2 linked regions of the Lonchura striata genome follow. The protein of the gene in region 2 interacts with the protein of the main gene of each other region in a pairwise test. Links are inferred from orthologs where the notes say so. Each region holds a gene or a part of one and is shown on either strand. Other genes may lie near its edges.

Region 1 (16,075 bases), on a different chromosome or scaffold from region 2:
TTTAGATGCCTCTGTGCCTCAAGACTGGATTATAATGATACTCAGACAAGGTTTCTACTCCTCAAACCAAGGCACATCTGCACCTACACCTGGATGAATCTGCATCAGCAGAGTCCCATCACAAGACAAGGCAATATTACACAGCAGAATCACTCAAAATCTAAAAGTCCCATCTTAAAAGACAAATGGATCAGTCACTCGCTCTTCAGTTTTCCATCTCTAAAAGAGAAAAGAACAGCTTATCTCCATATCCAAGAGGTGCTGGAAAACACCTTGGGTTTTCTTCTGGTATTTTTCACTGCATATGAAAACAATGACAATGGGTTCTTATGACAGAGATTAAATTTCTTTGTAGAAAATACAAAACTTGTCAAAATTATAGTAAAAGCACTCATGTGCATATGATTCAATACATTTTTTATTCATCTGTTGAGGATGAATGGAAAACATTTTAAGTCTATTAAAAATATACAAAATGTATATTCTCAATCAAATTATGACTATAATAATAAATGCATTACCTCAAAAGGATAATTTGATCCTTCTGGATGGATAATGTACAGACCACTTGGAGTTTTTGAAACTGAACCAACAGTATCTTTAATATGAGTGCAGTCCAAACCTACAGAAAAAAGGTACTCAAGGAAGTTCATGAGCAAAATATTTTTTAAAAAAACAGATTAATATAGGAAAATTACTTTTTTGGTGGCATGAATTATTTAAAATATAATTTTCTTCTCATGAAAACATTAAAATCATGCTTTGTCATGAATTTATCTTGCGAATTAAAATTCTCTAAACACCATCCTACTTCTAAGTTATTACAAATAACACTGTATTGATGCAGTTCTTTCTAATCTTAATAGATATGATACATACCTACATGAAATTAAAGATTATGTATCTGAGTAAATTTACATATTTTTTTCATTTTATTTATAACACCTGTACTGTGAAAAAGACATATTATCTGAGAAAATAAGTCTTTTTTCTACAGATATTTATACTTGTAAAGGCCTTTCCATCTTAAAGTACATATGAAAAATATTCCATTTGAAGAAGGATACTGCAGATGCAGAGCACACCATATTTCATTGCAAAAGAATGTACTATTTAACAGCCTCAGATCACTTACTAGCTAAAAATCATACTTGGTGTTTTACATAAAAATCAGCATGCTAAATGGGATGCCCAGAGTTCTCAATTGCAAATGATTTAAAGCAGTATTTATGATAACACTTTTAAACAGTTTATTAAGTTTATAGAGTTTATATGTCACTAACACAGGACAAGTGTCAATGTACAATTGCTTACCTTTGCTTTAATTAGCTCCTTTGCAAGATACAAAGATGAAAAGGGAAGGTGTCAAGACTATCTCTGAAAAATACTTACCATGAGATTGAACTGCTTTATAAGGAAGTGGATCCAGATGTTTTCTCAGAATTACGGTGTTCAAAAGAAGAAGTTTGTTCATAAGTTCATTTACCTGCAAATTCAAATAAAAGATCTTTAATTAGTTTGCAATGAGAAATTTTACATTTTAAAGATTTTTCTGACTCCTAGTAAACATAATGTGAAGTTAAGTTTTGTGATGTGTAGTAATTTGTACCAATGTGAAGGAATGGTCCTCCACTTTCCCTACTGCAATGTATGACACTAAGGTGTGAAATGGGATGCTTACCACTCCTCACAGAAATGGAAGCCACACTCTACCACAGCTACAAGGACTGGTGATAAGACACTCTAATTCTGGTGAATTAATGACAATTCAATGGTTTAATGACCCCTATTTTTCCTCAGAAAGATAACACCTGCTGTAAAAAATAACAAATACAAATCTTTATAATAAAGGAAAAAAGTACCTGATTAGAAAGGTAATCTAGCGAAGACTGTTGATCATCCATCATGTCTCTTACCAGTTTTTTTGTACTTCTGGCATATTCAGCAAGTGAGTTCTGCAAATTTCCTTCAAAAGAAATATGTTCATCCACTTTGTTTTCATAAATCCAGAAATATTCTTGACTAAATAACAGCATATTTATTTATGACATCTAAGTGAATACTGAAGGTGTTTTACCTTACAGCACCTAAAAGTGAAATGAAAGTAATACAGAGACCACAGATTAAAGCCAAAGGTGCTAAAAACTTCATACTTTCTGATTGCAGTACAGATATCTTAAGAAGTGATGGTTCTTCTCATGTTTTGGAGAAGAAATTAATCTTATCCTTGGGTAAACTGGACAACTCATTAATGGATATCACAGAAATATAAATGCATATGATAAAGGGCAGATCTATATAAGGTTTCTTGTCACCTTACATTTGCTCATTCATGGTACTACTCCTGGTTTTTGCTCTGATGCTAAAAATCTTAATGATCATCATAATGGCATATAATTAATAATAGATATTTTTAAATCATATGTGAAAACCAATAATTTGCACAATTATTTTCAGAGGCTGATTGTATAATTTGCTGTAAGTTTATCAAGCTAGTGCATAGAGAATGTCCTTTGTAAGCCTCCATAAAAGTAAGTACACATTTACTCCCATGTAACTAACTAATTAATTAAATCCCACTCACACCCCCACATCCAGCTATGACGTTTAATGAGGAACAGACATCCTCCTCTTCCTCTCTGCTTGAGAGAGATGCTGACATTCAGAGGGCAACAGCTGTAGGTGGGTTGTGTGGCTGCTTGGATCTGCCTGTCTTCACCAATGTCTCACACCAGCTGCATCCCTAAAAAAGGGTACCCCAGATTTTCTGGACAACACACAGTTTTGGAAGCAGGGTCACAAGGCTGTCACATGTGCTTAAGATTAAAAACAAAATTGCACAGCATAGCATAGCAGAGGAGAGGATTGCATAGCATAGCACTGCACAGCTCATCACTAAAAGTATTCTTCATGAATACATACTGCACATGTAATGTTTGTCCCCTCGTAAAATTTTAGCTTGAGCATCACATGGTACAAGGCATTGTTCTTTTTGTTTTGAAATATCTGCAGATTTATTTTTCTCTTCTGCCTGGAGTGGTTCCTCCACAGGTCCAACATTCCTTGTGTCCTGTTGTACCAAATAATGGAGGGGGAGATAAATTGAATATAAAGCACGAATAAGATAGCTCAGTCTGTCAAAATGGAGTATACTGCTTCACAGAACTTCCTTCAAAACATGTTTTTTAAAAGCTTTATCAAGCAATAATTGACAGAGCTGAGACCAAAACTGATTAGATGTTCTCTGCTTAGCCATACCTCTCAAAAAAAAAAAAAAAAAAAAGTAGTGTCAGAGGTAAAGAATAACCTGAATAAATTAAAAAACCACCACCACCATTTTGGTGAGGTATTCTATTTGTAAGCACTGTAAGTGGGAGGCAAGAACTTGCAAATTCTGCATTTTAGGAATTACCACACCCAATGGACAACTCAAATGCTAATGAACTTATTTTCACTGGAAATGAGCAGGCTTTTGGATTTACCTCATATTAGCAAAGTACTTTTACTCTTGAAAATCCTTAAGTTCATTATTTAGACATTGATCAAGGAAGTAATTGCATAACTTTTTAACTTATGCACACAAGCAATCACGAGAAGATTTGCAGACCAATTCAGCAGTAAAAAAATATTTCAATGTTCTTATAGGGGAAATAATAAAGGGACAGTATGCATAGGCACACAATTATCTGAAACAATAACAATATAGCATTAGTAAAAGTAGTTCCACCTATTCCTGTTATTTTAAAATTTTATTTTCATATTTAATAATTTTTCTTCCATGGTGCCATATGACATAAAATATGGGAATGCCTCTGAATCATCACTTAAAGAAATTACTAAAAGTAATTCCCAAAATATGTGTCATTGTCAAAAGACTAAGCAACATATTTTCATGAGTCTTTGTTTGATGATATCATCATCTCAGCAAATAATTTGTAGTATGTTCATACATTGTGTTTCCAAATGTAAACAGGATGCTTTAGAAATGTCAAGATTTTAATGAAAAACAAAAGTTATTTAGACTTGAATACATCTTCATCAGTTGTTCTTTTCTGCTCCAGTTTTCTTTCTGCAATTGGTACTACACCAGCCAGCACTGAACAAGGATTTTTCCCCTGGTTTTTGTTCTTAAAAAGTGAAAGTAAAAATTACAGAAAACTGTTATACAAAGAAATTTTACAATAAAAGGTTTATAAATTACTGGTATAATTGCATTTTGTGCCAGGAGAATGACAGAGAAGTAAAAGAATAAGTTTCTTTAATTTTGAAATAAACACAAAATAAAGAAGGAAAAATTATGCAAGAGTTATAAAAAGATCTCTAGAAACTTATAAATAGAACACTTGAAAGTATGGCTTGTTTCAGGGCTATCACAGCTACTCACCAGATGTTCAATTAAACACTGTTAAGCAAATATTTTTAATCAATATTTATCTTTAACAAAAGCCAACATGAAATAAGCAATTAAATCTGTTCTCAGCAATTCAAGCAAAAACTAACTCTGCCAAAACCAATAGTTACTCTGCATTTAAAGTCATGCATATGAGATTAAAAATATGACATAACCACTGAGCTGTCATACAGGACTCAAAAATGTTCTAATATACTGAATTCCTGCAATTTCAATGTAGTTTCTTTTCTCTATCTGAAAATACCTGATTCTTCTGTATTTCCATATCAGTCTTGAATAAGGCAATCCATATTTTTAAAACATCTGCCACTTTTCTGAGAAATCATTCAGTTACATTCATTATCTTATCTGAACAAAGTAAAAGAAAATCTTACCTTAGGTGAACAAGGTTCGCCATTATTTATCACAGTCTTTCCTAAACTGAACAAAAAAATATTAAGACAAATAAATGAAGTTACCCTAAAGTGGCGGTTCATCTTTTACTTGAAGAAATGCAAATGTTTTGATGGGTTTCAAATTTCTGTGGAAAGAATTGTACACTATGAAGGCCTGATCTAACTATTTGGGAATGTCTACAGCACAAAGGACAGCCAACACATCACTCCTTTACTGCCTGGATTTAATAAACCACATTTCAATTGCACAGTAGATTTTATATATTACTACTTGAATCCTGAAGGAAAATTACAGCTTATCACCTCTACATGACACATCAAACATATATTTTCATTGTCATAAACTCTGACAGATTTTCTTATATGCTATTCTTGAGCATTTTTGTATATTTGGCATGAGTGTTCTGGGTTGCTTGAAAGAAAAACTAGTATCACTTGATGTTTTCAGATTTTTACCAAGTTTTTTTATCATTAAAATGAAAGAGTCTGTACTGCTGTGGTGATAGTGCACTAGAACAGGATGTGGAGGCAGTTTTGGAATATGTCATCAAAGTAATTTCAAAATAGAGAACTGAATAAACATTATTTTAAATTAATACTTCGTATTGCATAGAAAATCTTTTACCAGGAGAATAACAGCAGTATGTTGGTTTCACCGGTAGCCCACCCATTGTAACACAGGTACTGAGTCTGTCATTCAGTACAATGATTTTTATCTCTGAAAAAAGTCAAAGTACAAGAGAATGGCATGAAAAAGAAGAAAATTAAATGCTTAATTAAAACTATGGGGCACTTACAGATTTCATTCAATTCCACTACTTTTGTATCTTAAAACTGGATCTGACAGTCTAAGAGGAAAAAAAAGTTCACAAAGGTCAAACATACTTAGAGAATTTAGACACATTAGAGAATTTAAATTGTTTGTGATCTGGCTGAATAAATGAAACCTCAGCTTCCAATGTACCACTGGGAAATACACTGTCTAAAGGATCTTTAAAATACAGTGTTAACCTGCATGTTACACCGGAAGAAAATGTTTCAAATTTGGCTTGATAATGTGATTAATCTCCACCTCTATCTAAAGCTGGAATACACTGGAAATAGTTTTTGCTACTAAGACTAGTTGGGAGCAACCAATATTTGTTGGGAGTGGGGATTAATACACTTTTTAATCCAATGTTTTCTTTGAAAATTAATACCTTAATGGCACTAAGAACCTGTAACTGAGAGGAGTATATTGAAATGCCTGTGAAATTCTGAACAACTTTGGCTCTTCTGTATTTCTCAAAATTATTTTTTTTTTTCTAAAGTACCACATGGTACATAATAGTTTTCCAATATGAGAATTACTAGGGTTTAATTAGTGCATCACTTGATGCTCTCTCCAGAAGATGCAGGTTGTGATCATTAGTTCAGTCTAAGGAAAAATGTGAAAAGATTTCCATGGCTCTCTATATATCACATTAAGGGCAAACTAACAGTTTTTCTTCTTCTTTCTATGTACATCAATAGGTAGAGTGACAAATTTCAGGCAGGAATAGTTAAAATAGTCAGAACATTATCTTCTCCCATGCAGTTGCCTACACAGCTTGAAGAAAAACTATGGAGCATCAGCAGATTAATCCTCCACTGGAATAAGAAGGAAAGAAAAATGCATTTCTGCAGCAGCACAGCTATGCTCTAGCCTTCAAATAAGACTTGTAATAAATTCAGAATACATCCCACAAAGTTTTAAAAGCTGATCTTATCCTTCACTGGAATATCAGTGTCCAGCCCAAAGTAAAATTTATGAAACTTCTTTCAAACCAGCTGTCAGAGCAGGACCTTCCATTCTGTAACTACTTAAGATCAGGTTTCTTGCTGCCCCAGAATAATCATACACTTCTGAATTACATGGCACTCAGCTTGTCACCTTCTTGTCCCACAGTCTGAAAAATGTGAGGTTACTCATGAAGAGAAATTATCCAATAACCACAAAGAAGGACTATGGAGACTTAATAAAAAAGTAAACAAGATAGAAATATATATAAACACTGAGGAATTTCTGAATCTCAATAGGTATCTTAAGGTGAAGCTGCAAGTTGTGCTGTATTACATGAAAATTTTCAGCAAATCTAAGGAAGCTCAAAATCTGTCAGTGGCTTGAGTTGACCATGACCTTCAATCTCGTAGGTTGAAGTGATGTGCACGGGCCCAAATTCTGTCATTTCCCAGCTCTGTCTCAGTTCTGATTGGGTGACTCAGTTCTCCATCCTGATAAAGCCTTCTACTGCATCCTAAAATAAACAGTGCATTTTATCAGGCAATCTGGGAATTTAAATGTGGGGGGGGGTTGAAAAGCCCACAGTGGTAAATTGACAACCACTTTTCCCCCTTCTGCAACAAAACAGAACAGATGGGGCAAAGAAATGGTGAAATTTGGGTTGATTTTTTGAAGCAGAGTTGAAAGACTTCCATTTTAGGGTGGTCTTCTAAATGGCAGTAACTGGGATACTATAAATATTGAACACATTTGGCAACCTGCCCACCACTGGTCTTGACCGTAAAATGGTAACAGCAACACCCACTTCCCAAACTGTGCTACAAATATGAGGGAGGGGTCTGTGGAGAAAAGTATTTTACAAATGCGGAGTACTATTTTTTTTACCTTCCTAGTCAAAGACATAGAACAGCTGTACACTGGGAAAAAAAAAAAAAAAAAAAAAAAAAAAGGAAGAATTGGTTTAAGCTCAAATACATCAGCCAAGAAATGTCTCCCCAGGAAATCACCAAGGCATTTAGCCTGTTGCTGACAGCTCATCCAAGGCAGGGCAATATCCCAAGACAACACCCTGCTTTGCTTAAAAAAAAATATAAAATAAAAGGGGGAAAAAAAAAGGTTTTGTAGTCATTAGAACAAACTGGAGGGTTTTTTCGGTTTTTTTTGGTTTTTTTTTTTTTTTTGTGTTTTTTTTTGTTTTGTTTTGTTTTTGATTTTTTTTTTTTTTTTGTTCTTTATGTAGCTGTATTCATAGACTTGTAAATATTTTTTATATAATAGTCATCATTTTGTGCATCAACTGATGCACAAAACATCTTTGGTGGTGGTTGTTGCTGTTATTTCTGCATCCTGTGTTTAAAAAGAAAAAAAAAAGTTTATGGTGTTATCTCCAGGTCTTCAAGAAGCCTAAGAGGCACCCGCACCGCAGAGCTCTGCAAAGCCCGCACACGGGGCCGGGCGCAGTTTGCCCACGAGCTCGCCCGGACCCCGTGTGCTCGGGGCTTTTAGAGGTCATGCCGCGGCTGCAGAGGGTGGAAAGCGCAGCGAGAGCCGAGCACCGTCCCTGGCAGGGTGTCCGCACGCTCTCCCGCCGGGACGGGACAGCGAGGAGCGGCTCCCCCGCGCGGCTCCCACCCTGGCGGCGTGTCACGGTTTGACACGAAAGGGAGCTCAGCCCCACGAGGACCGCCGGGCGCGGCGGCTCCCGGCCGCCGGCCCCGCAGGCGGCGAACGCGGAGCCGCCGAGCGCGCTCCGCCGCGCCGCTGCTCCCGCCGCGGCCCCGCCCCGTTGCGAAGGAAGCGGCGCCGCCGGTTGCTACGCGGCGCGGAGACGCGCGGAGCGGCGCGGCGGGGCCGGCGCTGCATGGAGCTCGGCGGCACGGAGCTCGGCGGCACGGAGCTCGGCGGCACGGCCGGCGGGGCGGCGCGGGGGCAGGTCCCGCCCGGGGCCCCGCAGGACCGCGCGGGCGGGCAGAGCGTCCCTGCGTATCCTTGCTGCGGCGTTTCCCGGGCCGGCCGAGCCTGCGTGCGGCCCGGGCCGCGCCGCTGCGTGCGGCCCGGCGGGCGGCGGCGGGGCCGGGGCCGGTGTCGCAGCCCCCGCCCTGCCCCGCGGTCAGGGGCCGCCTCAGGGGCGTCTTCAAATTGGAACTTGCACGTTGCGGGTTTGAAACTGCCGTGGGAAAGTTGACTGCTCCAGCAGCTTCGGAGTTCTCTTGTTTTCCCTTTTCTGGGAGATTATGCCACTAGGAATAGGGTTTTCCATCCTAACTTGGGGGTTCTTGTTTTTTGAATCTTAGTAGTAAGAACTACTGACGCAAACTCTTAAGATTATTTACTACGTAAATAATTACTGGCATGATGCAGGACTGACCTGGCTCTCTGGAGAGCTTTTATTTAGTGATGTTAATCAATTTCAGTGAAAACAACTAATCCTTTAGGGTGTGGGAGTGTGTGTGTGAGGGGATGTTTACTATTTAAAATTTTCCTTCTCATATCTGCATCCTTATGTTACAGGTTTAGGTAACTACACAAAATGTCCCTTCAAATGAATATAATAAAGGTGGGATTTTTCAGCTGGTGATACAATGAAAGATGAGTGTAAAGCCTCTCCTAAAATGCTTTTTAAAAGTAAAGTGCAATTATTTTTTTTTCTAGATGAGCATAAAGTTAGTTATGACTGTAAACATACAATTATGGGACCTCCTTTATATAAGGTCAATCACACAGGCTGTTATATCTTTTAATGAGCTGTTCCATACAGTTTCTATTGTCCTTAACACAGTCTTAGGGGTGGAGATTTGATATTTCATTTTGAGCAGGATTTACAAGAAGAACGTCGGGCATTGAAAGAGGATCAAAAAATGCATCGAAGCAAGGCAATGAAATATTTGATGGAGACAAACAGAAGAAGAAGGCAAGTAACTAGGGTTCCTTTAATGGAGGATTGTAAAAAAAAGATAAAACCAAAGCAAAAGGAGTCATAACCTTGAGACAGATCAATATATCTCTACTATTCTCATGTTCATTTTGATAAATAGCTCACTGCTTTGGCCTAGAGGAATTTAAGCTGAAAAGTTTCAGCAATCCAGTTTCTTGCTATAGGACAAATAAAATAAAACGAGCAATATTCTGATTTGCTCACTAATTTTTGAAAACTCACTGTAGTCACATCTCATATAAACTAAAGGTAAGTAGTACTTTCATCTTGTGGCTCTGATCTGCATTTCTAGTGTTCTGGGTTTTATTAGCTTCAATGCATGTATGAAAAATGCACTCAGCTGTACAGAGTGGGCCAGCAGAAGGCAGTTGTTGCTTTCTGAAGTGTGTGCTTTTTTGTCTGCATGGCATAACAGCTGCTCAGCTTCCCCTTCATGCCAAGGCTTTGTGCTCCCATTTCCCAATAAACACAAAGCAACATTTTTCTTGTACAGGATAATACTTATAATAAACTTATTTTGTACATTTTAAACAGAGCTTTGCATAATCTGTCTTCTGCATACATGAGAATGCAAAGCCATGAAATATACTGTGGCAAATGGATTGAGTAAATTATGCACTGAAATGTCTCAGTGAAGTGCTGTGAGTAGTTCAGTGGGAATAGAGGTTTTTCCCCTAGGACTGAGGTGGTGCTCACACATACAGGGGGCTCAGCTGTGTGTACTGGAGAGGCAGATGGGTTCCTCCTTGCAAGCCCCCAGCCTCAGACCAGCTTCCTCTGCCTCTTGTTAACTCACTAATGCTTGTGCCCTGCAGTTCCCTTATCTGATGACTTCTGTTGTGCAATGTTCACTTATTGCATATGTTCATAACTCAGAAGAGAGGTGGTATTTATTGTTTATATTGCCATTTTAGCCTGACAGTATGTGCTGTCAACTTACCCTTTGAAATAAAAAGAAATGGAAGAGGAGATAAAATCAACTGTGAGTAATTAAAGACAGAGTGCGACCCACAAACTTTGCAGATAATAAACTAAGTCTCAGTTGAAAAATTAAATACCTAATTTCTTTTTCTGGAACAGAACCACTGCAATGCTACACATCTCAGATGAACACTGTTTATTGTAATACTGGTCTTGAAATATTATACTTTAATGTAAAAGCAAGTACCAGACAGCCTGCATATTTTTGACAGACTGGTGTAGTTAAAGTAATACTTGTGGATACATAAATACATTTCCATATGTATTTCATTGCAGCCTTAGGAAACACAGTATAAATCCAAGTTACTCAGGTGAGTCACTTAGAAATTTAGGTATGGTATTCGTAAAACAAAGTAATTTCAATTTGTGATAATTGAGAATGGCATAATTATTAGCACAATAAGCAATTCAAATGGAGTCTGTGGTAACAAGTGTTCTCCTAATAACTGAAAAGGAGTGAGTTAGTTAATGTTAGAAAGGTAGAAAATGCATACAATGTTACAAGCTGTGACATAGATAATTAAAAATCCTGTATATGTGCAGGAAAGTAATTTGAAAATAAAGTTCTTTGAATCTACATATTTTTTTCCTGGGATTTATGCAGGTATGAATTGATTAATCAACCCTCAGGTTGTGTCTCAAGTCTATATGATCCAAGTTCCATTAGCTTTCTTATACATGTGAAGGTGTTAGATGTGATGATGGTTTCTCAAGAGTAGCATGACGTTCTTAAACTCCACATTCTCACCTGGCAGCACCCAAAATTCTCCCTGCCAGGGCTTACAGGTGTATGTCAGGAGTGTTCTTGGCACTGCTAGTGTATGATTTCAAAAGAAAATTTGTATCTTTTGCATATTTTGTGTGGAGTGTAAGAATGAGTGCACTGTGAAGTGTGACAGACCTCTAACCTTCGCATAGAATGGTTGAGTTAGGACGGGACCTCTTGATCTGTTTGAACACCTCTACTCAGGAAGGACAATCCTCCACAACCTCTCAGGGCAATCTGTGTCAATGCTGTCATCCTTACCAAAAAAAAGTGTTTCCTGATATTCTAAAGGAAACTTCTGTGTTTCTGTTTGGTCCTGTCAGCAGGCATCACTGAAGACAGCCTGGCTGTCTCCTCTTTGCACCTTCCTTCCAGGTATTTATAGACATTAAGAAGATTCCTTTGAGCCTTCTCTTCTCCAGGCTGAACAGTCCCAGATCTTTCAGCCTTTCCTCCTAGAGAGATTGTCCAGTTCCTTCATCATCTCTGTGGCCTTTCATTGAACTGTCTCCAGACTGTCCAGATGTGTCTTGTACTGAGGAGCCCAGAGCTGGACACAGTCCTTCAGCTGTGGCCTGCCTAGTGCTGAGCAGAGGGGAAGGATCCCTTTCCTCTGTGTGCCTGCTAGGCTTTGCGTAGTGCAGTTCAGGATACCACTGACCTTTGCAGCAAGGTTGGTCCTTTCTCTCAAGTAACAAGTTTTACAGCATGAGAGGAAATGGCCTCAAACTGCATGAGGGGAGGTTTAGATTGGATACTATGAAATTTTTTTTCATGAAGATGGTTGTCAAGCATTGGAAAAAGCCCATTGGAGTGGTTGCATGTAGTATACTTCAATATGTGGTTTGGTAGTGAACTTGGCCGTGCTGGGCTTGTTTTTGGAGTTGATGATCCCAGAGGTCTTTTCTAACCCAAATGATTCTATATTTCTATGTTGAATGAAGGTGTTAAAGAGGATTTGGCCCAGTAGTGACTTCTAGAGTTCACCACTATGTACTGGCCTCCATTAGGACTTTGTGTCACTAATCACCACCCTCTGGGCCTGGCCATTCAGGACGTTTACATTCCACTTCACTGCTTATTCAGCCTCTCAGCAGCATCTCATTTATGAGGATCATAGAGGACACTGTACCAACAGCCTTAGTAAAGTCCAAATAGAAAATATCTACTGCCCTCTTCTCATCTGCAGGACTGTCATTTCTTTATAGAATTTTATGAAGTTGATCAAGCTTAACCAAATTTAGTGTCAACCTTAAGTTTATAAATTTTCTACTAAAAAAGTAAAAGCAGTTAATTCCCTTTAGGATGGAACACTAGTGACGATACAGAAGAGTTTCTGCTCTCTGTTTAATCTTGTGTCATTTAGGTTAATTCTCTTATGTTGCTTTGTAGAGGAAAATTTTTCTGTGGGTTTTTCTTTGTGATTTTTCTTCAGGAACCACTAACAGGCCTCCTTTAAACAAGGCTGTACCAAAAGATTCTAGCAGATTGAGGTCTTCTGTTTTCAACTTTTTCTATATGTACTGGTAATGAATTTTTCCCTGATGGTCTACTGTTGATTTATTGTCAATACTTCTAAAATGCAGCATCCTCAGCATTAAAAATAGTCAACTTCTACAAGCTGTACACAGTTAATCGGTTTAGTAGTAAAAACACAAAATCATCATTTGCTCAGAAAGAACAAGGATACGTTTGGAAATAAAAGTCTCAGTAACCTAAATTTCAGATCCTTTTCAATCCCCCTGATGTAATCTGTTTCTTTGCATCTCTTGTACTGACCAAGCTCCTTAATTTTGTTAACACCAGTACTTCGACATAGCAAAATACCCTAGCCTGCAGTTTTTACAAGTTGCCTGAGTTTCAAGAAAGTAATTTCTTTATTGTCTCACTGATACATAAAGTTGCAATTTCAAGATCAGATTAAGAATCAAATATTCTCTGGGGCAGTAACTGGCAGATATTTTGTTTAAATAACAGTATTCTGGAAATAAGAGCTAGTGACAAAGCACGTACTTAATGCAAATGAATAGGATATCGTATTTTATGTTTCTATAACATGCTGCTTTCTAAATACCAGCTGTCACTTTTGCTGGGAACTATAGATTTTGTGCTGTTACTGCTCAGTGCAAAATGTGTTTCCCATTTTACTGTGATGTTACTGTCTGCAGGTAGCCGGTTCATTCTGGAAATGCAATTGTCTATGTGCATTGTAAAATAAACCTTACAGCTGGTTGTCTTGGTTCAGCAATAGCTAATCTGTCTGTTGAAACTGGGGAAGGAAATCTGTATCTGTTTCCAGTCTGTTTCCAATCTATTCCCAATCTATTCTTCTTTCCGTGAATACTTTATTTTCAACATAAGCACAAGCTGTGTGCTCCACCTACTGGCTGATTAACATTGATTATTTCATAAATGCTCTTTAAATTATTCACCAGTTTTGTTGATTGAGAATGAAAAGCAGTCTGTGGCCAGAAATATGAGAACAGTGTAAGCACTTGGTAAATAGAGAGGCAGAGTGTTAAGAATTTTGTATTTCTTTCTACATCAGAATGGAACTGTGAAAAGTAGGTGATCACTGTAACCACTATGATGTGGACTTGAAATGCAGTATTGCCATTTTTGATAATGAGCCACAGGATTGTGCTGAATTAGCAAGGACTTGGAACAGATGCTTGCCAAACTTGCTCTCTTTGAACTTTTCTTGACCTGACAGCAGTTTTGTTTTGCTTGGTTTAGCTGTAACAGCAATTTCTCTAAAAGACCGGGTGTCTGTGGCTAATTTTGCCTTTATCTTTTTATTGTATGACCATAGTTTTATGTACATAGCAGTAAGAAGCAGTTATTCTATGCAGAGGATGAGATATTTATGACTCTAAAATCGTGAAGTAGTATTGAGAAATGCAGGCCTGGTATGGTAACAGAGGCTTTGAAAACTGGAGGTGTAGGATGTGGCATGGAGGAATACAAGCAGGGAATGGTAAGAGATGGCACACAGGCTTGGCACTGGAGACCCCATGGCTATAATCACGAACAGTCAGCTAAAAAAGTGCAGAACTAGATCTGACAAACCTGGCTTTTAGAGGTAACAAAGAGAAGAAAACAATAGTATATCACATACAAAGAAGGCACCATGTATGGAATATTCGGAGGAACTGTGGAGCTGCAAATTGATGATGATAGAGCAGAGGTGTAAATGTGTATTAGCAAATTCAGAAATTACTCCAAATGGATTCTAAAGTGAGGGAGAGAAAGCATTTACATGAAGATCCTGTTGGTCCTGCTGAAGGGACTCCTGATGCTGCCTGTTCACCTTTAACACTCCAGCACAAACAGAAACTACAAGCCTTGGGATGCAAAAGAGCAATGCAAGAATGAGCATCAGGAAAAGAGATAGAAACTCAATATGTGAATAACTGTTCAAACTGGTATATCACTATTATTGACCCTTTTTCTGTATAGAAGTATTCTAACAATATTATTATTTTTCAGTAACAATTCTGGAGTTATAATAATTGGACTCTTAAGATTTGAATTATACTAATAAAAAAAAAATCTTGACTTAATAAGGTGTTCTTGGGTTTTGCCTATGAACAAGACTTGGAATAGTGCAGGCAGCCCACCTGTGGACCTTTGGGGGCATATTTGCAGGACAGCCCTCTGTGAGCCCATACGGTACTGTAAGGGTTGGTTCTTCTGAAGCTCTCGCATTTCAGGCTGTCTTTTTAGGTTCAGCATACAACAATCAAAGATGAAGGAATAGATTTAATATATGTTCCTGATCTTGGGAAGTGTCTGAGATAAAAAAGTTGATTTCTGATCTTTTTAAGGATGTAAGATCGCTTCCTGTTTGCCCATGAAGGAAATTTTGAGTCTGACACTGCATTTTAGCCTTTTCTTCATCCTACTGCAGTCATTGACAATACAAATATCTCCCTGCCTCAATTTTAAAATTACTGCGCACTGGTTTGCAACATGATGTGGCAATGGAAGAATAATAACAACTTTCATTTCATAGCACTCCATACACACTGTATATATTCATTTTTTAATTATAATTTTCATCCAATGCAGTAGTAAGCATTTAGTCCACCTGAGAATGTAGCATCTATCACTTCACTGTGAAGAAAATTTAATAAAATTAACCAGGAAATAGTTCTACCATCTAGTCATACTGTTTTTAGTATAAAACTGCCTTCCACATAATGTCTGTATATGTGAGACAGCTAAGTATTTTAAGTTTGGTATTCCAAATTCTCTATAAATATTTTGGCAGCCATTTCAAAAATTGCTGCACCACTGGGTTGTTTATAGTAGACAGAAAAATTAGGTTAAAAAAACACCAGTCAGGAAATTCTTCTGCTAACTATCCATCTTAAAGCCATACTCTTTTGCCAATGGTACATCTGTGATATGAACCTAAGCTGGTGACTTAAGGAGAGCACATGAACAAACATTTGCTTTAACTGTTTTTCTGTAAGATGTAAATGTGCATTTTTAAAATTATTTATTTTGCATAATGAACCTGAGTGTTACAATTTACATACTGTGAGGTCAAGAAGCTATTAAGGCTTCACTGAATAAATTTAATGCATTTCCTTACATTAAAATAAGATCCTTTTTTCTCCTTCTTATCTTAATCCAAACCAAATATTGATCATGATGAGCTATGCTGAAAAAGACATCTTGCATCAGGATTTGGACTTGCTCATTCCCAGCTATATGAAGAACAGTCCTTTTTTAATGCTCATTATTAAGAATGTGGAAGAGAGCAGCTAAGCCATATTCAAAATAATCTGAAAAAAAATACTCTGTCAGAATTGATTTT
Region 2 (16,202 bases):
AAGGCCAAGCAGTTCTCCTCTGGATTCACTGTCAACAGCTAGGGAATACAAAGATAAGGAAGTAAATCAATTTCACAAAAATAGCTTTAATAAAATTCTTCAGAAAAAACAAAACTGTTTCAAAAGTTAGTTAGAACAAAGGGTTGGTGTTAGAAAATGCACTGTGACACTATTTTCATTTTAATACCCTTTACCTGAAGCATTGTTATACATTAAGGGCTTCTAGTACTGATGCTGAATGGGATCCCAGTGAACAGCACTTCCCTGGGCAAGTGTTATCCCTGCTACAGCCTTGTGTCCCTTCCAGGCAGGCTTCCCAAACAGCCCCAGGTGCAGGTACCATGAGGCTCTCTCAGGGCCCAGGTCTCATGCTTTGTGTTAACAAAGCTCTGAGGCCAGAGCTTTGCCCACGAGCAGCGACTGGGGCAGGGAGGCTCCAGTGCGCAACTGAGCGCCCTCAGCACTATGCTGGCATTAAGACAAAGTGTAATTATGTCTCTCCACCCTATACAGTTTCATCTGATTTGCAGCTAGCTACTGAGGTCCTTACCTCTTCATCTTCACCTTTAGCAATGTAGGAAGTAAAGCCACCATATTCAGGATCCCACTCTTAAAATAGAAAAGAAACATTCTTAGAAACCACAGTGCTGTTCATGCTCCACACAGCCTTCCAGGAGATGCCATTTTTCACCTTGCTCTCCAAAGTTACTGGATACAGGGTAAGTATTTACCTCCTGCCAGTCTATTTGTTTTCTTCTGTTCAGAAACAACTTGAAGCAAGTGTACTGGATTTGCCTTTTATGGTAGATGAGCTATTTAAAGTTGCTTGGTGCACCGCTCCTCACCTGTAGAACAGTTCTACCCTAGCAGATATACCAAAGGATTTCAGTCAGCTGTACATTTTGGCCTCATCTGGTCTAAAATGCTTGTGGTTAATTTTTTTTTTTTTTTTTTTTGTTTTACCACTATCTAACTAGCAATCAACCCAAAATGCCTAGGTATGCCTAAAGTAACTTTTGAAAACGTTGACCTTTGTGAACTGGACGTGTAGTAATAATTCTGATGAGAAAAGGGTAGAACACTCCTGGTGGGTACTGTGGCCACCTGAGCCTGCAGCGCACCCAGAGCCATTGCTCAGCCTTTCCCCCTGTCCAAGCGCCACCTCCTGGCGCAAGCGGAAAGGCCAGAGATGATTCCAAGGCCACAATCCCAAACTTTTCCATGAGGACTACTGGAAACAGGGTTTATGCCGAAGTGAGGACTAAGACAAAGTCTACAGAAACCTTCTATGCAGGAAAAAGCAGGGAAATTTTGTGTGTTTTAGAACTGCTGACCACTCAGAAGTCATTCCTTTATGCAAGTCTTGTGAAAGGAGAGTCTGACATCTCTCTCTCATCCACTTACCTTCACAGCCACAAAAGAAGAGCAGATCAAGAGCAAATTCTGTGGCTTGAGAATCATGGACAAGAGTGTAGTGCCCGTGGGTCCAGCGTCGCAGCTCCCCCGCACACACAGGAGTTCCTGAGCCTAGGAGAGGGCACAAACACCCAAGGGAGAGCCATGAAGGCACATCAGCTGAGCTCAAAGCGTGTGAGGAGCTCAGTGATCTCACACCACTGTGAGATTTGCTCCATACATCCTTTGGTCCTGGTAACTGCTCTGATGGGATTTTTTAAGTAGGACTTGTTTTTATATTACCTTTTATTCCAGTGTCCACTAACTTGTCTTAGTGCAAGATGAGCATTTTCAAAAACTCTACCTTTAAACTTCAGAGCCACTCTTTTAAATAAACATCATCAATCAAAACCCAAAATTAATCTAATCTTTCATAGTTGTCACTGCTGACAACTAAATTCAACTAAGGTTGTTTAGGCTGATGGTGTTTTCTGAAAGGTTGAATCCTAGTTTTAGGTATCAATTTTCTAATTCTAAAATGGTTTTACTTCTGACCTGTTCACCTGTCTCTTTTGGATTTATTATCTCATACAAGAATATGCTTTATATGACGTAGGGGTACATGGATGTAGAAACCATGTAACTATTGACAGAAGATGAGCAGTCCCCCCAAAAGTCCCACCCTTAGGACTTAGGTCTGTTCAAAATGGCATCTTCAAATTATCATTGATTTACTCCAAATTCTTTTGCAATGGTCACTGATTTCAGATAATCAGTCTAAAAAGCTTCAAGTCCTATGTTTGTGCTGGTTGCACAAACAAGGTGAAACAAACTAGGTGAAGCACTAGTTCCATGAAAATCACTGGGAATTTTGTTTGAATCCTTTTTCACTGCTGCTGCTCTACTCACTGCTCTGAGTCTCGCCATCCTGTGCTTCAGGGGTGTTCTCAGGCTGGTGTGGCTGATGGGGATTGCCATTGGCTCGTTGTTCAGTCTCTTCCTGCTCAGATTTGGGACTGCTTTGCCCACTGGTGTCTGCTGCTTGTCCCTCCCCAGCATCTTCATCCTCATCAGAGGGAGCCAGGAAGTGCAGTTTTAGGCCAGTGAAGTTGGAAAGCAATAAAAATAAGGCCTCAGAGCGAAGTAGCTGCAGGAATTTCTTCAGGGTGTCAGGGAGGCTGTGTTCCTCTGCTGCCTCATAGAGTCTGAAAGACAGCAGATGTATCTCCTTGTGGGAGAGCCAACAAGGACCACATCTATAACAATAGCACTGACCAGTGCAGCCTCCTGGCAGCTCCTGCTCAGCACACTGGTGCAGCGTGCTGTCATTCCCCACCTTTTATTGGCTGGCCCTCGACTACTCCAGTGGATCTCTTTGTTCTCCAATGCTTCACATAGTAGTTGGTACTTCTCTTTCTAGGAGAAAGAGATGCAGAAATGTTAACATTTAGCTCCTAAGAAAACAAGGTTGAAGACAAGTGATCTATTTTTGCTGAGTCCTGATGCAGTGGTTTACAGGCAGTCAGAGGGGATAATTCCACAGAATCAGAGTGGTTTTTGGTTGGAAAGAGCCTCTGGAGGTCACCTGTCCATTTTTAGGTGTGAAACTTAGAAGGTGTTTTGTTTTAATGGATGTGCAAGGAAGTCCTCTCCCAGCCTTCGTGCCATGTAGTACCTGCCAGCCCTCTGACCAGTTCTGGCAGATCACATCAAATTCAACCACTGGGCTCACCTTAAGAAAGTCTTTCAGGAGAATTTCTGATCGCTCCTCAAATTCCTCCTGGATTTGAGCTTGGGAGTCCAGGTCCAAATAAACTTGATTGATCCACTCATACAATATTTCATGCTGGAAGGGAAATGGATTAGAACACTGAATTTTCAGAAGTGAAGAAGATTCCCTAATTCCTCCTACTGAGCTGGCCACAGAGCTGGATTCCTACACACAAACACACTCCATTGCTTTATTTCCTTGCACCACAGGTATTCACCACATTCTCTGAACTACTGTAGGTATGCAAAACATACAAAGATGCCTAAGAAAGAAACTGGATACAAATTTATCAACAGGAAATGAAAAGGAGAATGGGATAAAGATTAAAGCATCCCCAGTGCATTGATGCATTCCCCAACAGGTATTACAGGAACAGGACAGAGACAGAAATGCAGATATACTGTTACTCACATCATAGGGGATGTGTGGGCTTCTGGCCAAGGGGGCTTCAATGTGCCGTGCAGGTCTGGCCACAGGCGAGCCGTGGAACCAACCACTCACTGACAGGCGGCACTTCTGCGACACAACTTCTGACACCTGCAACAACGGCGGGCAGCACGTCACGGGTCAGACCAGGCGTAACCAGTGCCAAGCAAATTCATAACAGGAGATGGACTCTGCTCCAGAGAGCCCACTGCACACACAGGTATGTCAGACAGATTATCAGAGAGAGGCCTATTGTCCTGAAGTCCATTGCAGGTTTCCAGAATTCCAGTCTAAGCTTTTACTCCAAGTTCACAGAGAATGCATTCTCTCTCTTACTCTGGGAGATTTGAGTAATGGATTTTTAAGACAAAATTAAACCCAAGTAGATGCTGCTCTTAATTAACAACTGTAAGACATAAATGACACAAAAACAGACCCCTAAGTGGCCTATGTCAGGACATGCCCAACCTATATCACTGATCATCTTCCTCCCCAGCCTTCTGCTCTCTGGCCTTGTTTGATGTCCCTGGTACTCTCAGGTACACAGGAGTGTCAGATTTCAGTCAGGTGTTTGTGTCATGCAGCTCCCCAAATTATTCATCCTGTTCCCAGGCTTCTTCCCGACAAGTGTCACAGAGTATTCCTTAACTGTATCAGCATTTCTGCTGCAGGGTACTGCACCATGTCTGTGCCACTGAGGGTGTACAGCCAGATCTGCAAAGTGCCCTTGCACTGTTGGCAAGGTGATGAATGGCCTGAGGAGCTCTTCTGGAGCAAAGTCATGACCACTACATCAAAAATGTGAGCTAGTTTAAAACAAGCTAACAAACAAGCGAGAGCTAAATTCAAAGCAGTGGCTTGCCACGATAGTAACACAAAATAGAAATGGAAATTTTTCTTTCACAGGATGATGCAGCTAGACTGATGGTTTAAAGTTGGCTTTGTTGGTTCTTGTCCTCCTTCAAGTCCTTGAAGCCCTTCTTTAGCACACAGCACTTAGCACAAGTATCCACTCTACCCACCATTCTTCTCTCTCCCCATCAGGACAGTAATAACACACAGAATGAATAACCACAACAATGAGGATTAAAAAGTTAACAAGAGAACGCTCCTTGCCTGATGGAAAGAGACTGGAGACACTTCAAAGAAAACCAGTGTGTTCCATGAAGGCACTAATGACTTGGTGATTTGCTGTGGCTGAAAGTGTTCTGAAGAAGAAAACATACTCTGGTTAAGAAAGGAACTGGGACTTCTCTCTGACAACATGATTCTGTGACTGGTGGGACACCTGGGTATAAGGCATGGAGCTCAGAGCAAGGGCTTGGTGAGGAATCAGTGCATCTCTGCATGGAGACAGGAAGACAGAGTTGGGGCTGTTCAGCTTGGAGAAGAGAAGGTTCTAGGGTAACCTAAAGCCTCTTCCAGTACCAAAAGGAGCTACCAAGAGTGCTGTAGAAGGAGTTAGGACAGACATGGCATGGAATAACAGAACAAGGGAGAATGGCTTGAAACAAAGGGTGTGTTTAGATCAGCTATTAGAAAGAAATTCTTCACTGTGAGCAGTGAGGCACTGGCACAGGTTGCCCAGAGAAAGTGTGGATGCCCCATCCTATAAATGCTCAGTGGGGTTTGTAGCATCCTGGTCTAGCAGACCATGTCCCTGCCTACAGCAGGCGGGCTGGAACAAGATGAGCTTTAAGATCTCTTCCAACCCAAACCATTCTGCGGTTCTGCTGCTGGAAAGGGAAGTTTTTGTCATCAGTCTGGAGTTCCAAGCACATTTACTGGCATCACTTCCATCTTGCCTCTACTCCTGACCCCTCCAAAAGTTTGTCTGCTGTTGCCTGTCTGCAAAGCCTATCCCTAAGGGGCACACTTTACATCAGCTTCTCCGAACAAAGGAGAAACTCCTTATTTCCCTTCTACTGTTTGGGGTGAGAGTTGCTGCAAGGGGCACATAAGCTTCATCTCCTTCATCTATCTGAGGCTGAGCTTGGAGCTTTTACCATCTGTGCTGTACAGATCCAATGTTCCCCCGTCACTTTTCTCCCAGGGTGGGACGAGGTATAGGATGAAAGCGATTCTCCGACCTTCCAGTTCATCATCGTGGCACAGCAAGACATCTGCAATTACACATGTTTTGCTGCTGTAGCATCTTTCCAGTACATGCATCATTCATGCCAACAACTGCTTCCCAGCTTTGTCCCCGCAAGGATACGACAAGAAAAAACATGTTCTTTCTAAGAACTACATTTTCACTCATTGGCATCAGCAGCCTGAAATCTGCAAGATTCACTTCTGTGGGACTGCACTGCAATTGACAGATCAGGCCACTCTGAAGGTACAGGCAGTTATACACCAGCAACAGTTGTTTCATCATTTGTACTTCATTTTCACAGTTTTGCTGTTGACAGCCTCTAGGACCCTCTGGAACTAGCATACAAGTAGGTGTTCTATAGACGTTTTGTTCCCTACACATACACAGAAGCTCTAGGGAAAGGATCACTTAGAGACTGACCAGTATATTCATATTTAGCACAGGATATGTCAATAGTTGGCTCCAGCACTATCTGGGTCACATCAGAAAGCCACACTTGGAATTCTTCACACAGTGCATGCCTGAGAAAATAAGCACACAGTAAGTGTCCTATGTTATAAAACATATAATCATAGACTAAATTAATGTATTGCCTCCCTGCTAACTGTTTAAATGGTTACAGGTGCTGTTGCTGTGAGTGACAGTGTGTTTCTGTAGGATCACACTGGCCAAGAAAACAGCCCCGTGCTCACAGCACTGCTGGCAATAATCAGCAGCAAACATGCAACCAGTGGGAAGGTGCACTGTGAAGCTTGTCAGAGGTGACAGCTGCAGGAGAGCTGAATATGGATGAAAGCTGAATAGACTTCATTGCCCATGACAAGCACAGAGCAGATCCAGCTCTCCACAGCCGGTTTTTGGCCCGAGTATGGGGGCAGAAGGCGGCCCACCCCGCTTTCGCTGTGGAGCCAGCACGGCTCTCCCCCCACCCTGAGCGGGCAAAGCCCCGAGCCCGCGCTTCACCTCAGGGCAGCGACGTGGGGCTCCGGGCTTGCCCCCAGCTCCTCGGACTGCGCGGCCCATGGAAGAGAAGGGACGGGGTTAGCGTGGCTCGGCCCGGCCCAGCCCGGCCCGGCTCAGCCCGGCCCCGGGCCCACCTGCCGCAGCGACAGGAGGTCGTTCCGCCGCCCGCGGAAGCCGAGGCCCAGCAGTTCATCCCGCAGCGCCTCCGCGAAAGCCGGGTCCGCCAGGAAACCGGGAATGACACCGTGCCGGAACGGGGCCGGCTCCAGCACCACCGCTTCTGCAAGGGAAAGGCCGTCGGTGAGGGGCGGGGAGCCGGGCCGGGCTGTACCGTGCCGGAGCCGCTCCCCGCGGGCCCGGCCGGACCGTGCCGTGCTGTACCGTACCGTGCCGGAGCGGCTCCCCGCGGGCCCGGCCGGACCGTGCCGGAGCCGCTCCCCGCGGGCCCGGCCGGACCGTGCCGTGCTGTACCGTACCGTGCCGGAGCCGCTCCCCGCGGCCCGGCCGGACCGTGCCGTGCTGTACCGTACCGTGCCGGAGCCGCTCCCCGCGGGCCCAGGCCGCCCCCGCGCGCTCCCGCAGCGCCGCGTCCCCGAGGGCCGCGCTCAGCTCCGCGCGCGCCTCGCGCCTCCCGCGCTTGGCCGCCGCCGGCGCCGCCGCTCCGTGACGCTTGGCGGCCATGGTACCGTCCGGCCGGACTACAACTCCCTGCGGCCCCCGCGCTTCGCCAGCGATGGCCAATCGTATCGTGCGGGGAGCCGTTGGCCAATGAGCGGGAGGGGCGGGGCCGGCGCGGCGGGTCCCAGCAGGCGGCGCGGCGCTGAGGGCTGGGCGGGCGTTAATGGCGGACGGCGCTCCCGCCGCCCAGAAGTGATTGAGCGCTCCCGCCGCCTGTTCCCGTCGCTTCTCGCCATGTCCGTGGTGCCGCCCAACCGCTCTCAGACCGGCTGGCCCCGCGGGGTGAACCAGTTCGGGAACAAGTACATCCAGCAGACGAAGCCGCTCACGCTGGAAAGGACCATCAACCTGTGAGCGCCGCCTCGGGCCTGTCCGGCTCTGCCCCCGCCGTCCCGCCCCGCTGGCGAGCTCATCCCCGCTCCCTCGGCAGGCTCGGCGGGATTTTCCTTCCGATTCCGCCGTGCGAGGTCCGGAGGGTCCTGGCCCTTCGGAGGGCTGGGGCACAGCGGTGGCAGAGCCCGAGTGCCGATGGGGCCCGCCCCCCTCACAGGGGCTGCTGAGCCGCGCTGAGGGTACCGAGGGCTTGCCGGCCTTCGTGGGAATGTGGAGGATTTGGTGTAAATGTTTTAGTGCTTAGAAGTAGCGTCTGGCTCGGGAGTTGTGAACCCCAAGTAACACAGGAAAGGTCTAGGTGTGGTGAGCATCACAGACGTTTTCTTGCTCTCACAGGCATCCGGAAAGACGGCAGAGAGAGACAGGGTCTTAGCCTCGCTGGGGTTTGAGCTGATCCTGGGCAGTCAGTGGGATGTGGCTGGATGTGCCTGGTGATTGTGGATTATCTGGCACAGGTGTTGGAGATAAAATTCGGAGTGTTTCCTACCACAGAAATTTGTAATAGAGACAAACTACTTACTAATAAGTATTAATGTATTTTTTATGAGAAGTCATATATTTTTGCTTCTTCCAGTAAATCTGGTGGATTTGGGACGTGTTCTTTGCTATGTGCATATATCAAATTGCAAAAACCAGCAAATGGTAGCTGTAACAGTCAATATTTAATTTTAGCTATTAATCACTGACACTTTTGTGTTTTTTTGTGTAGCTGAGTTTATTCACAGAGTCATGTGGAAGTTCAAATATGAACTTCAGAAACTGCAATATTTCTATCGGGTTTCTGAAGCAAAGACTCATAATGAAGCTGTGTTACCAGCAGCATTTTTTTTAAGTTGAAGCTGAGGGTTTTGATGTACAGACTAATGCATCCACATTAGTATAGTATGGGTTAGCTTAATAGGTTATTATTAAAGTAATTTGTGTATCTAAGAATGGAAATGAAGAGAGAAAGAAATGTAGATGGTTTTAGACTATAAGTAAAAGTGGGGGAGCTTGTTAGTAAATGAACCTGTGGTTTGGAAGCTAGTTGTTTTGTCTACATGAGAAAAGGCTCCAACAATGGTAACTGGCTTGTTATTTTAACCACTGTAAAACATTAGGAAAATTGGAGGAAGAGGAGGGCTGGAATTTGAGGAGAGAAGAGCGTATGCTACTAAAGTTTGACATGTCTGGGGAAGGAATCCATGCCAAGAAGCATCTCAAGGAAAACATAAGACAGTCATTCATTCTGTTAATTCCATTGCTGTGTGCCACAAGTCAGTAAAACCATGGTGATAACTCATCGCTGCTCTGCCCAGAACCATTTTCTTCTCCCTTTTGACTTAGCTGGGTGATTCTGTCTTTCCTCCAGGCCTCCTGCCACCAGACCTCTCTGTTAAATGGATTTAATTGTACAATAGCACTCCCCTGTTGCCCTCTTGCTGTCTTGGGCTGACCCATTTCTTGCCTAACCTTTCCTTTCTTTGTTTTCAGAAATCGACAAGTTTCCACTGCACTGTTACAGGAGTGCAGGCACCCAGCACCAGCCCAACAGAGGGATCTGCTCACACTCTTGATCCTACCCTAGGTTCCCAACCCTGTACTCAGAAACTCAGCATGTCTCCTCTTCTGTGATCCACATGTCTGATTTCCCACTTCAAAACAAAACCACTTCTAACAGTTTAGTTCTCAGGCTTCATTATATCTGCAGAAGAAAACCTGCAGTCCTGTGCAGCTTCCTTCCTTCCCAGGAGAGCTTTTTCTCCAGTCTCTTTTCCAGCTCCTAGCAGAGTTTCACCTGCCTTTTCCCTGCAGCATGGAGATCAAAGAGGGTGGCTGTTGAACAACAGTTGGTTCTGTGCTTCTTTTCCTTCTTTTGAGCCTACACCAGGCTAGAGTGCAGCTCAACAGGACTGTCTGTGCTTATTTGTTCTATAGTGCAGATCTCCCTGGGACAGGGGCCTCATAAGCCACCAACAAAGATTTTTAGCCCTGCACTATGACTTTACCCATCAAGCAGTGAAGGATCTGTCTCAGGGTAGATGCTGTGTCATGGTGATTTAAAGTTAGATTTCTTGTTACGCAGTAACATTTTTTCTCCTTACAGGTATCCTCTGACGAATTACACGTTTGGTACAAAGGAGCCTCTGTATGAGAAGGACAGTTCCGTGGCAGCTCGGTTTCAGCGCATGAGAGAAGAGTTTGACAAGATTGGCATGAGGCGGACAGTGGAAGGAGTTCTGATTGTGCATGAGCACAGGCTGCCCCATGTGCTGTTACTGCAGCTGGGTACAACTTTTTTCAAGCTGTAAGTGTCTGTTTCCTAAGTGTAACTGCAGTTTATTGTCACAAACCAGTAAATGTGGGCTAGAGGTTAAAAGACATAGTTGGAAAGTATTTTTTGAATGGTGTGGTTTCAATCTAAAGTGTGTTTGACTCTGCTTGTGAGGGGGATGATTTAGTTTGGAACTGACTGGGAATCTTAGTTACAGTGCATCACTACAGTAAAATCTTGTTTAAAAATCATTACCAGCACTTGATGTGTTGTACTTGCATTGTGAAAGCTGCAATGCTTCAGTCGCTTATGCTGTGCCTGTAAAAATGGGCAAGTGGAGGCCAAGGACTAACCCCCTGTAAATGCAGAATGATACCTGCTTACAAACTAATAGCTGAGCTGGGATAGCAAGAAAGGTAGGCATCTAAATCTGAGAAAATTGCTTCAGTTCATCTCATAGTTATCACAGCCAGACTGAAGTTCTAGTGATTGCATACAGATGTAGTGATGGTGGTGATTTTATTTTTTATACTAGATGGCCTTGACTTGTCTCATGTTACCATGCTTGTGTTCTTGTTCTTCTGTTTTAACATTTTAGATTGTTCTCAATTTTGTGTGTATGTTAAGTAATTTAACTAATCTAGATTAGTTTTTGGCATCTTGATTTGAAGGGCTGTTGCAGACTAGACAAGAATGTAAACAATTTGCAAAATGCTGTAATGATGAAAATTAATAATCCTGCATAATTTTCCCACATGAGTTTTATTTTCTGCTTTCTCTATGCTTCAGTTAGTGCTGGCTTTGTGATAAGAACAAATACAGGCAGTATTTACAGCCCTTCAGCTTCTGGTTATTATTATTAAAACTTTACCCTATAAGGGACTGAGTTTTTATCATGTGTATTGTTATAGTTTGTCCTGCTGAACTGAAAGTATTTTATGTAATGGTTATTTTTTATGGGATGTAAATAGCCATTTTAATTTCAGTTGAGGTGAAAGCTATGCTGCTGTCTTTCAATTCAGCAAAACTAGATCTCTAACTCCTAACTTAAGAGCCATAAGCCTGGAAGCACACTGGAACTTGGCTGTGAAGATTGGTAAATGCAATAAAATAACTTTGACTTTCATCATTGATTATTTTAACAGACCTGGTGGTGAACTCAATCCAGGAGAAGATGAGGTGGAAGGGCTCAAACGCTTAATGACAGAGGTCTGTTTTCTGTCATTATATTGCTGTAGGAGAATGTTGCATTATTTTAGAATTACCAGAATAAGATAAAGATTAGAGTAGTCTTCTTACCATTGTTGTTATTTTGTTGCTTTTGTGATGTTCTCAGGTAGTTAACAAATAAAGCAGTCAAGTTTTCATTTATCTGCATCATGAGTGTGGCTGACTCCTACCTGCTGCTCAAGTCCTGTGTTCATTTGCAGCTTTGCTTTCTGACTGGCTTCAGGCAAGTGAGTGTAGAGATGAGCAATAAAATATATTGTGGAGGACAGCTGTTGGGGACTTGCCTTTGAGATAGTCCTCTCAATGCACCATTTTCTCCAAGTAGCTAAATTAATTCTGCTAGCTAATGTAACAATGTATTGCATTCTTCCAATTGGTCTGATAGGACTCAGTCCAGCTGAGTACAGCATAGATTTTTGAAAAGCTTTCTAGAGTGTCCTGGTCTTACCAGGTGAAGCTTTTACTGAAAAATCTCACTTTATATAAAAATACTCTACAGTTCTATTGAAAGCTGTCTCAGAGCAGTTATGAACTACATCAGACATATATTGCAGTAAGTCTTTCTGTTTCTAGTATGTGTTTAATAAAAGAATTTCCTTGAGGTAGTTTGAGGTCTGATTAGTACTAGATTTTTGATAGATACTGGGTCGTCAGGATGGTGTTCAGCAAGACTGGGTGATTGATGACTGCATTGGCAACTGGTGGAGACCAAACTTTGAACCTCCACAGGTGAGTACTCCCGTGGGCTTCCATCTTCTTTGGTCAAGTTCTGTCTGTACTTCTAAAAGCCTTCAACCTTCCAGATGGGCTTCTTGAGTACCTGCTGCATGAGCAATTTGTTTTTCTGGGTTTTGTCTATTTCATCTCCTTTCTATGACTGAAGAGAAACTACAGCCTTTTTTTTTAATGGAAATTCCTGTCTTCCTTCTCACACCTGTCCTGATGGATGAGAAACCACTAGATGTAGTAGCTTCCAGTTCTACATTGAGACATATGCACCATTTATATTCCTTTTGTAGCCACAATGGAGATTCTTGTACTGCTGCTTGTGGAACATGCCCTAGTCTCACTACCCTATTTCTAAGGGCTTTAATATTGAAAATCTTTGTTTAGTTTGCTTAGTTTGCTTTTATGCATTTCTGTTTTATTGGGTTGTTTTAACTGCTTATGATATTGATGCCACTTTAGAGCCTGTCAATAGTTGTGACAGCAACAGCATTCCTTTCCTAAGTACTTTCTTATGAAAATGGTTTTATTTGATGCCATGAAAGAATAATATATGACACACTGAAAACTTGTACAGGGCTTGATAATTTATAAAGTAGCATTTAAGATTACATAGTATTTTCAAAGCTCTGTACAACTGTTTTTTACCATTTTTCTTCTAGTATCCATATATCCCAGCTCATATTACAAAGCCAAAAGAACACAAAAAGCTATTTTTGGTCCAGCTTCAAGAAAAGGGTAAGTGTTTGTTTGGATCAAAGGGTTGTATTTGTAACAATATTTAAATGCCTGCATTTCACTCAAGGAACACAAAGTTGTGATTGTGTATGTTGTGGTATGTTATACCAAGATGTGTATGCTTGCAGTTGTTTGTGGTTGATCACTAACAAAGTTAAATGCTGGTATTTGTTTTGAAGGTAGATGATCCTTTGAACATGACTTCCTAGTAAATTTTTATTCCTGCTTGCATCAGTCTGTGTACAGGATGTGAATCCCATATTTAACTAAAAAAGCAATAAACCTGGTTGAGTGCTCTATGTAGTGAACTTGTTTTGAGGTCTGTGGGGAATGATGATCCCTTGGCTGAATGTGTGCTGGTTTTTTTGATTCATCAACTTGTATTTGTTTTTAGCTTTGTTTGCAGTCCCCAAAAATTACAAGCTGGTTGCTGCACCACTGTTTGAGCTCTATGACAACGCACCAGGATATGGACCTATTATTTCCAGCCTTCCTCAACTTTTGAGCAGGTATGTTGTATTTGTATAGTGGCTCTGGGAACATGGTTTCCTGTGGGACACCAGAGCAAAGCAAGGTGCTACAGAAACCAACTTGAAAAGGTGGCATCTATCCCAAAGATTCTGCTTCAGATGAACTGCATGGACACTTTTGAGGCACTGATCACAACTGGCTAGCACCAAAGTCCTACCTAGCAGCTGTAGTTAAGGAACACATGGAAGATGTGAGGATGAGGCTGTGCACAGACTGAGGAGCAGCTTCTTGTAGTTGTTGGAGACAGCTGGAGAGTTAAAGCCAGGATGTAAATTTGAAGCACTGAGTTAGGTATGCATATTATCACAGCTTTGTGCTGGTTAAATGTGGTGGGTTTTTTTACACTCTTTAGTAGAGCTAATGAAGTGTAGCATCTTTATGACACAAATATCTGTAGGGACAGCTGTATTTTTTCCTTTCTCTTGGAATGTATACCATGCTTTGACTTTATTACCTGGGAATGGCTGTGGCTTGTCTCTCCAGAGCTCACTGGTCTCTTACTTGAGAGCATGTTCAGGCATACTAGGAGTCCCACAGCCTGCCAGCTCTTCCTCAGGGAAGTAGTTCTGTCACCTACCTACTATGATGAAAAAAGTATGTTAGCACTGGTCTTGCACATAATCTTATTTCCTGCTGAGTATTTTTCTCTCTAGCCCAAATTTTGGCTTCCCCTCCTCTAAAGACAGCAGGTATTTCCTCTTGAGTACCAGCCAAACTGTCATGCAGGTTGGGTAGTGGTGCAACAGACACATGCAAAGGCTGGGCACCTGGAAGCTGAGATGGATTGCTTGCTTCCACAGTTATTTATGAAACTTAGCTGGGAAAAATTCTCTCTTCAGTATGTTTGTGTGTTCCCCTTGGAACATGTAAGGTTGGTCTAGTAGCAGAAGTGCTGCAAAAGAGTTGCTGATGGAGGAATGTAACTCTCACTGTGATTTATGTATCTGTGACCTTGTTTTAGGACATGAAATGTTAATAGTTAGTTCTTCTCAAACCATAAGAGACAGTTGTGCAATGCTAGTGTAGGATTGGCTGTTAAAAATGATATATATACTGCTATACTGTAAAGCTGTCTTATGAAAAAATGTACTTTTGTCCTGTCAGGTGGAGGCTTATCCAGAGCAAAAACAAAACATTTGCTTATTCATTCAAAAATGCCCTTAAAAAAAAGAATCAAAATTCCTCACTTGGTATAATCCTTTTAATTTTAGGTTCAACTTTATTTACAACTGAGTTCCTATATACCTGAAGACTCCAGTAGAAGAAGCCGTCTCTGTGAGCACAGCTTTGAACTGTAGAGAAACGAATATGTGTGACACAAGGATTTTTTGAAGTCTTTCTGTTCCTGAAGACCACTAAACATTCTAGGGTATGAACAGAGAAGTGAATTTCAACTGTTTAGCTAGAGAGATGGCAATGGGCTACCAGTGTTATAATCCCTTATCATTGTAATACTCACCAATTTTTTGTTTTGTACAACATTAAACAATATGGTTAAGATTCAGTTTGTCTTGGGTTTGGTTTGCTTTTTGTTGTGTTTTTTTTTAGGTTTTTTGTTTGTTTGTTTGGTTTGTTTTTCCTTCTGTTTATTAGTTCTTTTATTTTTCCTTATTGTCTCTTAGATGCATATTTTAAGCTTTATTATTTTCTTCAGGAATACAGATGATCTTGGAATGAGGAGGAGCTAAGCCATTCAGGGCCCATTCAGATGCTGGGATCTTTATCCGTGAGAAGGGAATATCCCTAGGATCAGGGAGAAATGAAATAGCTTAAGTGGATTCAATATTGTTTTAAGTCTAACTTGGAGACCAGAACTGCTTTTTTGAGGGAGAATGAGTACTTAAAGGCAAGCGTAGCCTTTACCTTTTTTACCAGAACCGATCGGTTTGTAACAGGGCTTGGAGGAGATGCAGCATGCATCTGTTCCTTCAGTGCCCCCTTGAGACAGTAACAACCCCAAAAATTCTGTTGGACTGGTCTGAGCTGCAGTTAAAATTGGGAAAGTGAGGTTAATTTTGTATATTTTTTCTTAGCTATGGGACAGAATTAGGGTCATGCTGAAACACTTAACCAATGCCACATGCAAGTGGTTCCATGTTATGCTGTCCTGTGCCGTCTCATCCTGCAAAAGATACCCACTTTTGCTTTTTCTCAACATTTCAGTTTCTTGTAGGCAGTAAATATCAATCTTTCTACTTCTGGGGATTTTACATGCTTGGCTAAACATAAAGTCCATTTGGATGTGACACTTCACAGTGCTTTTAGTCTTCCATAATTTTGCTTAATGAATGAGTCTTTGAAAGATTTGTTTCCAAGTTCTGCCTGTGATCAGAAGATGCACTGTTGCTTGTGCACTGTCCTCTTTTATGAAGGCAGGGTTGGAGAGCACCTGCTGCCAAGAGAACCAAATCTTGCCAAAGTGCTTGCTTCTGCTGCCATCTGCACTGGTAAGCAACGTACAGAACAATCCTGACAGCTTGGTGGTCAAATTGAAGCTGTGCAGTATGGCAAATGTACTGCAAAATGCTGGGAGAGTGCAAGGGCTGTTCACTTTGGTCCTATGGAAGGAAGGCCCAGACAGATGGTGAGTAGAATATATGGTTTCTCAGCTACCAGCTAGGGGAAATACAGGTAGCAGGAGAGTGGAAAACAGAATCTTTTTGCCTGTGGAAGTAAGAAAAGGCAGGTGGAAGTTTGGAAGTCAGATGCTGCAAGAACAAGGAGCAGAGTGCAGCTTTTGAGCCTTGGCACTTAAGAGCACCTTTCACCTTACCACACGGTAGTTTGCGAGACTAATTCTTGTTCCAGGCTGTCAGTGGAAGGGCGCTGCTCCTGCAGTCTCTACGCTCTCTCTGCCACCCTGCCTGTAGGTTTGGGGGCTCCCGAAGGCCCCTCTGCTTCCCCCCGGCGCGGCTCCGGCGGTGCGGCCGCTGTCCCGGGCGCGGGCGGCGCGGGGCAGGGCCGGGCCGGTGGAAGCGCCGCCCCGGCCGTGACTCAGC

What was found.
Region 1: the proteins of NUDT21 (region 2) and CEP126 interact in a two-hybrid assay, tested with the Homo sapiens proteins (2 studies listed by BioGRID and IntAct). The link is inferred for Lonchura striata from reciprocal best matches to the Homo sapiens genes NUDT21 and CEP126.

Annotation. Positions count from the first base shown.
Region 1 is NC_134604.1:42,129,402-42,145,476, forward strand, and holds the start of CEP126 (centrosomal protein of 126 kDa), read left to right. Parts: upstream 1-8,482; 5' UTR 8,483-8,551; intron 8,552-9,353; 5' UTR 9,354-9,426; coding exon 9,427-9,479; intron 9,480-16,075. Other genes in the region: ANGPTL5 (angiopoietin-related protein 5), read right to left, coding at 522-622, 1,393-1,486, 1,863-1,966, 2,923-3,070, 4,786-4,887. UniProt on the Homo sapiens protein: Participates in cytokinesis. Necessary for microtubules and mitotic spindle organization. Involved in primary cilium formation.
Region 2 is NC_134615.1:15,559,668-15,575,869, reverse strand, and holds NUDT21 (cleavage and polyadenylation specificity factor subunit 5), read left to right. Parts: upstream 1-7,452; 5' UTR 7,453-7,565; coding exon 7,566-7,681; intron 7,682-9,810; coding exon 9,811-10,011; intron 10,012-11,123; coding exon 11,124-11,187; intron 11,188-11,847; coding exon 11,848-11,937; intron 11,938-12,596; coding exon 12,597-12,672; intron 12,673-13,066; coding exon 13,067-13,181; intron 13,182-14,414; coding exon 14,415-14,436; 3' UTR 14,437-14,707; downstream 14,708-16,202. Other genes in the region: prolyl 3-hydroxylase OGFOD1, read right to left, coding at 1-38, 551-609, 1,405-1,527, 2,305-2,600, 2,732-2,811, 3,128-3,241, 3,578-3,703, 4,709-4,800 and 2 more. UniProt on the Homo sapiens protein: Component of the cleavage factor Im (CFIm) complex that functions as an activator of the pre-mRNA 3'-end cleavage and polyadenylation processing required for the maturation of pre-mRNA into functional mRNAs.